2 linked regions of the Mus musculus genome follow. The protein of the gene in region 1 purifies or fractionates together with the protein of each later gene. This does not show direct contact. Links are inferred from orthologs where the notes say so. Each region holds a gene or a part of one and is shown in the gene's direction. Other genes may lie near its edges.

Region 1 (4,038 bases):
CTGGCTAATCATGACTATCTGTTGGCTTAAACCACATCTGAGGAGTCTTCTCTGGTGGATACCTCCCAACCTCCTCATCTGTTATGTCCTCCTCTGTTAGGATTCACCAAGAAGGCTCTCTCACGATGACAGTCCACCTTGATAGTGGACTTCCCAGCCTCCAGAACACTGTAGGGAGTAAACGTTCTTTGTAATTGCTTGTCTGTGCTATTCAGTTGTAGCAACAAAAAACAGGCTCACATACCCACCCACCTCCAACTCCAGAAATGATCATCTTGGAAACTATGATAAACAGTTTGTCTGAGTTCCACAAACCAGGTATTTGCAGATTCAGGACTCACTTCCCATCAGAATATCCCCAGGCTAACAGAAATGACCTTTCTGCTATCACCCTTCACACGGAAAACTGTCAGGAAGCCCCAGTTCTAAATTTACATTCTGAAGCTGATCTTTCTTAAGATCGAACCTGCCTAGACCGGGCGTGGTGGCGCACACCTTTAATCCCAGCACTTGGAAGGCAGAGGCAGGCAGATTTCTGCGTTCGAGGCCAGCCTGGTCTACAGAGTTTGCACCTCCTACCTTCAAATGCTCTTCTTCCTCCTTTTCACTTTACTTATCACCCGTTCCTCATCACAGAGCTGTTTAATGCTTTCCATTTCCCCCAGGCACTCCCACTCAGAATTAAAGCACTAATCTAGTCTCCAGTTGGGTAAGCACCTCCTGCCCCAAACTAATTAGCCACCCTTTTCTAGCCATTTTGATTTCCTGGAGAATGTTAATTTCTCGAATTTAAATGTTGTGAATGGCGGGCTGCGAGTATGCTTTGTGGTATACCTGCAAAGTAAAAGCAAAGGAAAACAAGTGTTCCAGATAAACAAAACAAAGAAACGAACGAACAAAAACAAAACCCCTCACAAACAAAACACATTCCAGGCCAGCCAGGACTACACCGTGAGGCATAGCCTCGTCAGAGCTAACAGACAGAATGGAGGAAGCACCTTCCCTTCACAGGCTCGGTCCAGCGTAAACGCGAACCCGTAGCAGCTCAGCCTGCACGCGTCCCTCCTCCCCCACACCAGCCCTGGATCCCACCCGCCTGACGTCAGCAGGCCCGCAGGCTGGCCCCGCCCCTCCCCGGCAGCATGCTTCCTTAACCACGCCCCTCAAGGAGGAAGGCCTGTGATTGGTCCGGAGGCGTCATAAATTGGCCAATCGCTCGCGCTCTAGCAGCTTTTGCGCACCCTTGCGTGCGTGGTGAACATGGCGGATAGACTCACTCAGCTGCAGGACGCTGTGAACTCGGTGAGGGCTTTCCTCTGCTCGCCAGCCTTGCTTTCCTGACGCGGAGAGAGGAGGAAGGGGCGAGGCAAGGCCCCGGGGAGCGCGCAGATTGAGGTCGCCGCGGGCGGCGCACCCCGTGAGGCCTGGGTCTCACGTAGTCCACAGGGCGGGGTCTGAGGAGACGGGCCTGTCCTGAGGGGAGACCGGGCCGGGCGGCTTGTCCTGAGGGGAGGCGGGACCCGGGGGCCTGTCCTGAGGGGAGGTCGGAGCCGCCAGTCTCTCCTAAGGGAGGTGGGACCCGGGGGTCTCTCCTGAGAGGATGTGGGACCTGCCAGTCTCTCCTGAGAGCCATGGGACCCGGGGCCTCTGGTGAGGTGCGAACTTGAGGAAGGGAACGAGTGGCCGCTAATAAGGAGGGGACCCGACGACGGCCTCTCCTGAGGAGACTCAAGGTCTGCGGCCAGGTAGCCAGGAAGCGAGTACTCAAGTTCCAGGGATGCTTCTAGAACTTCCTTTGTGGGGCAGCACACGCCTAAGCACTTTTGTGTGTATCCCTCCCTCGCGTTTCAATTTCAACCTGCCAAACGGATTTCTCCTGTGATTCCACCTCTGAGGCTGAGACAGGAGGATTGCAGCGAGCTCCGGGCCAGCCTGAGCTCCAGTTTGATAGCCCATCTCAGAAAACAAAACACAAAAGACCACAACAAAGTGTTGAGTGTTTGTAGGTTGGTGTATGAGTGACCAGGGCGTGAGCTTGCCTTGCTTTCTGTAGGCCTTCACTCCTCCCTCCGCTCTTGGCGACTCCAGCACCAATGGTTGGAGAGTAACGTCTAGAAGAGGCCAGATCCTGGCCTCTCCGTTTCTTTGCATTTGTTTAAGTCTGCTTTACGATCTTCCCTAAGAGGCTCTTATAGGTGGAGTGAAGCTCTTACAGCACAGTACCACAGAACAGTGAATGTACACAAGAGGGATTTTTGTTTTGTTTTGAGATGGTCTCACTGTGTAGCTCTGGCTGACCTGCACACTGTGGAGACCAGATTGGCGTTAAAAACAAAAAAAAAAAACAGCCCAGTAATCAAAATCTACAACAAAAGCTCCTGAAAACTGCTAGCTTCTCTAACTTTGTCGCCTCTGGCTGTTATTCTGGCTTAATTGTACATGAATGGAAAACTAAATACTGAGCCTGGAATGGTGACCCACATCTTTAATTCCTGTAATCCCAGCACTTGGGAGGCAGAGGCAGGCGGATTTCTGAATTCAAGGCCACCTGGTCTACAGAGTGAGTTCCAGGAGAGCCAGGGCTACACAGAGAAACCCTGTCTCGAAAAAAAAAAACCAAACCAAAACAACAACAACAAAAATAGTGCAACAGTTTTCCATTGGTAATTAAAATCTCTTAGTGTCATTCTGGTTGTAGTTTGATGTAGAAGAGCCTACACAGTATATGCCTGCTGAAAAAAAAAATCTAAATACCTAGTTCTCTGGACAGTGTTTTTTAAACAGGAATGTTATAACAAGGCTTCTTGGTAATTCATCATTTTTGAGAGTACATTGAAATTGTGTATCTACTAGTGGGAAGACTAGTCTATTCTGTGTAAATAAAGTAGTTTTAAAGTTGAGGGGCTATCTCTTAAATGTTGATGAAGTCACCAAGGTACATTCTGTTTTGCAAAGATTCCCTGGGCTGCCAGCCAACCTCTCCCAAGAAAATACTTTTGTAATTTTACAAGTCTTTCTTGTTTTAATTTAAATTTTTTTGGTTTTACAAATCTTAATAATGCTGTGTAGAAGCTCATCTCCTAAGTATGCATATTCATGTAGGTCCTATAGTTAGGATGTTAAGGATACGATATAGTCTTAGGAGTACTGATAATTGAGTTAATATGTATGCCTACTGTGTCTACAGGGAATGTGTTTACAAAGAACTATTCTAGGAGCTTAGAAAGATGTCATAAACTCAAGAGACTTTTAGATGATGCAAACAAACCCCATATGTGGCTAGGGAGTTACAGTGGATTGTTTTCAGCTCTTAAGAGCTAAAGTAGATTGGAACACAGAGCAATATTAACATTTGTTCTGCCATCTGGAAACTCCATGTTCATTTCTATAATATATACAGTACTTGTCATGGAGTTGGTTTTTCAATAAATATTTTTGAACAGATTAATAATGGGTCTTGAATGAATTTACAAGACAGAACACTAGCTGCTGTATTGAGTAAGCTTCATTTATATTTTTCTTTCTTATGACAGTGCTGCTAAATAGAACACTGCAACTTAGAAAGCCAACCAGGTTAGCTTTTCAATGACAATTCAGAATTTTACATTGAAATAATGACAGCAAAACAATAGAAATGTTTATTGATTGGAAATACTAAATGAGGCTTCAGGGGTTAGGACTAGTGAGAACATATGTTTAGTTTGTGAATGGTGTGAACTTATATTCTCAAATTACTTAAATGCAATGCTTTTTAGTTTTGCTTCTTTTGAGGCAGAATCTTATGTAACTCTGGCTGGCCTAGAACTGTCCACATACTCCAGGATGGCCTCAAACTGACAGATCTGAGTGCCTCTGTCTCTGCCTCTCTTATGCTGAGATCCATCATGCCCCAAAAACAAACAAATTTAAGCAACAAGGTTACAACTTGAATCTTGAAGAATACATTTCTGATAATTTACAGTTTAAAAAAATTTTTGTTTTTCATGTAGTACAAACTGGCCTCAAACTCCCTTACATAGTTGAGGATGGCGACCTTGA
Region 2 (4,104 bases), on another chromosome or scaffold:
GCTCTGCGGCTGCGAAAACCCGGAGAGGCAGATGGGAGCGCTCGAGGCGCTCGCAGCCAACTCCTCCGCGGTCCGGCCGCCAAGCTGGGCATGCTCAGTGCGGCCGCCGCGCCGCCGTCCGCCAACTCGGGAGCTCGCGCTCCCGGGCCGTGGGGGCGAGAACGCTGGCGACAGCGAGCGACGCCCCCAGGCAGCCGCAAACTTCGCGGCGTCCGCAGTCTGGCGAGCCAGACACCTCGCAACGTCAAATCCAATTCCCCAACCCTAACGGAGCGATGGAGGCTGCGGCCGCCAGGGCGTCCCGGCTGCCCGCCCCTGCCTAGCCGCTAGCTAGGGACCAACAGGTAAACTGTTGGGGGTGGGGATCAGGGCGCGCGACGTCTAGGGGTGGCCCGGGGAGCCCAGTCGCCCGTGCTCCCGATGTGTCCGTCGGTGCTCGCGGCCACCTCTGCTCACCCCCTCCCCAGCCCCGGGAGGGCCAGCAAAGGGTTAAGTCGGCCCCGCGCCACAGCGAGCGCGGCCCCCTCCAGCCGCCGCGGCCGCTGCAGCCGGCAGCCAGCAAAGCGCCCCGGCGCCGCCGAGGGGACCCGCGCAGCTCGTGCACTGGCTGAACCCGGAGGCACCGGCCTCGCTCGGCGTCCGCATCCTCGCCTCTCGCGGCCTCTCTCCCTCCGCGTCCGCGGTTCCGTGCCCGGGCGGCGGGTCCTCCGAGTGCAAAGCTGCGAGCGCCGGGCATGGCGAGCCAGGAAGTGGGCGCGGGCCGCTGCGCAGCACCTCGCGTGCCCGAGGACGCCTAGCTCTCGGCGGGCACCGAGCCTCCCGCCTAGGCGCCAAGAAAAGTTTTTTCCCCCTTTATGCCCCTCCCCCACCCCAGCCTGGGCCCCTCTGGGTGGGTTTGGGTTCATTGGTGAAGAAAGTCACACGTTCCCATCATCTGCTCCTCCCCCTGGGGACCGAGTGGGGGTGGCGGGAGGCCGTGGCCGCGGCGGACCCTGGCCGACCTCCAGCCCGGGCGCCGCCGCCGCCGCCCGCGGAGCAGGCGTCCCGGGGCTCGGCGCAGCGGGGTGCCCACGAAGGCGGCCCCCCTGAGCGCGTCTGCGCGCGGGCAGCGGCCGTCTCCAACCTGCTTTTTCTCCTGCCTGCAGCGCCACGGCGAGCCAGAGTGGAGGGAAGAGGGAGTCTGTCTGCAAAGTGCTGCTCCCTGGTGCTCAGAGGCGGCTGCTCCAGCTCCAGCTCCAACTCTCATTCATTTCGCCGGTTAACATGAGAGATCATGGCCGCCTTCGGGCTTCTCAGCTATGAGCAGAGACCGCTGAAGCGCCCGCGGCTCGGGCCGCCCGACGTCTACCCGCAGGACCCTAAGCAGAAGGAGGTAAGGGCGCCGGCGGCCTCCGCGGTTGTGCGGCGCTCCGCAGCGCTGACCCGGGGCCAAGCTGGCCCGGCGGGCGTCCCCGGCGCTGCGGGGGAAGGGCTGGGGAGGGGATCGGAGGCGGGGCCCGGGTTAGGGTATCAGGGACCCTGAGCTACTGAGACCCGGAGCCTGCCAACCCCCGCGCTCCGCTGGGCGATCGCTCTGCGGGGGGCTGGGTCGCTTCCCGGTTGTCGGGCCTTGCACTGCGCCGCTGGGCGCTTTACCGCTTCTACCTCGCTAGCATCTTCTTGCTCGCTTTCCTCCGTTTTTGCTTGTTTTATTGTTTTTTACTCCGTCGCTTCGATAAATCCTCGTAAACTTTTTGACAAATGCTGGAATGCAGTACATCGGACACTGTGGTCTTGCGTTTTGCGCCAGCGGTATGGGTACGGATGGGGGAGGGACCCTTATCACATCCTCCACTTTGGAATGGAAGTCGTTTTTTAGCGAGGTGATCATATATTTGGCTCGGTGAATGTACCTCTGTATCTCTCGCCTTTAAAAAAAATTTAAGAAAACAATATTGAAGAGAAACACCGAATTTTGTTTCTAGAGAGACAAATTGGCTTTCCCGGAGGCTGTTTTGTATGTGTAAAAGCAGACAAGTTATCTTAGAAAGGAATAGCTTCCAGATTACTTATTTTCTTTGAATGAAATTAAATGGAGAAACCTTGGCTGTTGCACATACAGTAGCTTCAGTGGTTATTGTAAGCTATGTAGGTATGTGTCAGGAGTTAAAAAGTAATTATGTAACAACTCTCCAGCCATAATAATGATCGCCCTTGGCTATACAATTTGCCCAGAGACTTGCCTATCTTCTCTTTTTTGGTTCCCCTGCTCCCCAGCTGTCCTTTGAGACTTTGCCAGCTACAGCCCACCCATCTTCTCTTTTCTATAGTTAAGCATGAAACTGCCATGTATTCTAGTCTTCCCGTGAGCCTGGAAAGTCTATAAAAGTTTGCGTGTCCCCTGATTTCACAAGAGGACTTTGCAAGTCAGAGTTCTTTCAGGCTTCTATTTTGATAAATGTATCCGTCTCTTTAGTAGAGGCTCAGCCCAGACTGGCTAATAATGTGTCTGAGAAATCATCACGAGCAATTCCTTTTGGCCTTCTCCCATTGAGTTTGAGGGTCAGGGAAGTCGATTGAAGATGGCTGGGAAGTTTACAGGTGGGCAGCATGTGCTTATGCAGCTCCTAAGGTCTGGAAAGAAGAGAGACTCTAAAGACCAAGTGTAAAGAAAGGTGATTTTAAAAGTTTTGGCAGGGATAGGGACATTCGTTTCTTAACTTTTCTCATCTTATAATTAGTGCCTCACTAGGTCTTTCTGGAGAGTGACGTAGCTTCGGGTTGGTGGCTTGGATTAGCATGTGTGCTTGTTTATTTAGCATTTATTTTTACATATGACAGTCACTTCAGGACTTGGATCCTGGAAAGAATAATTTTGGACATTGGGTCACTTTCTAGAAATCTAAAGCTGGAAGAAGTGCCTGTAGAGGGTACTTTTTTCCTACTTTGATTTGAGGAGATAGGGTGATTGCAGCTCAGAAGCGCTTGCTTTATCTGAAGTGTGTGGTGAATAAGCACACACTGGGTTATCAGCGCAGCCCTCCTTCAGCCCTGCACTGTGTCCCGGTGACTTGTGCTGCTGCTGCTGCTCCTCGGATTCACTTCCCCCCAGGCGACCGATATTCTATCTCTCTTGAGGAGAGAGTTATATGTGGCTGTAGTCAAATTTGGGTACAATATGGAACAGGTGCTCGGCTGTTTTTTTGGTTGGTGGCGAGCAGATTCCTAAGCTTCAGTTATTTATGTATTATACTACTCCCTCAAATTTCCACCCTGTCCTTGTACAACCAGTAATTTGATCCTTTTATTAACTGTAGATAAACTGTATTGTGTTTTCTGGACAGTCTTGATTTTTTGCAGTTTACTGCAATATGAATATGATTGTATAAGACATCACCCCCCCACACATATATGTTATTATATGCAAACACAAGATATATAATTACACATATTTGAAGGAGGCCAAATCTATACCATTATCCATCAGAGAGCTGTGGTGATTTGTTTGAGAACGGTCACACTGATCTACCCAAGCTGATGTTGAACTCAAGATCTTGCTTCCATTTCTAAAGTCCTGAGATCCTAGACCTGTACCACCACATTGAGATAAAGTATTGATTGAATGGAGGAAGTCCAGGCTTCCGGTTTGACCGTGGTGAGTTTGAATTATGGTTGAGCATCTTAGTGGTTGGCAAATTTGGATCACGCCTCTCTTGTTAACTAGTTTAGTTGTGCTCGTCAGGAAAAACAAGGTAAAACTTTATAATTTTCCTCATGTTTGGGTAAGAAAATCCCTATTCTTCACTGAACCAAAGTTGCCTGATTGCTACCGATGAAGTTTTTATTGATAAGAAGTGGTAAGAGCGTTCTGGAAATAGGGTCCCAGGCTACGGAGTGGAATCCTTCGGGAGGACTCTGTGGAGACAGAATGAAAAGATCCGTTAACCTGCCTCATCAGTTGATCGAATTCATTCACGAGCTTTGCAGTGCCCTGGTCTCCCTTTAGACTTTATTAAATGTGGTGGTAGAGTACTTTGTCATCTGCACATAGACTGCCCTCCCCTTTAAAAATGGGGAATCAGAAAAGCAGGGGTCTTTCTCGAGTCTTCTTCCTCTACAGCTTAT

The links. The genes of interacting proteins can lie anywhere in the genome.
Region 2: the proteins of Med21 (region 1) and Med12l purify together in Homo sapiens (affinity purification with mass spectrometry; 3 studies listed by BioGRID and IntAct, counting the BioPlex papers as one, with this or other methods). This does not show direct contact. The link is inferred for Mus musculus from reciprocal best matches to the Homo sapiens genes MED21 and MED12L.

What each region holds. Positions count from the first base shown.
Region 1 is NC_000072.6:146,641,351-146,645,388, forward strand, and holds the start of Med21 (mediator of RNA polymerase II transcription subunit 21), read left to right. Parts: upstream 1-1,228; 5' UTR 1,229-1,260; coding exon 1,261-1,302; intron 1,303-4,038. UniProt on the Homo sapiens protein: Component of the Mediator complex, a coactivator involved in the regulated transcription of nearly all RNA polymerase II-dependent genes.
Region 2 is NC_000069.6:59,005,729-59,009,832, forward strand, and holds the start of Med12l (mediator of RNA polymerase II transcription subunit 12-like protein), read left to right. Parts: upstream 1-1,249; 5' UTR 1,250-1,273; coding exon 1,274-1,372; intron 1,373-4,104. UniProt on the Homo sapiens protein: May be a component of the Mediator complex, a coactivator involved in the regulated transcription of nearly all RNA polymerase II-dependent genes.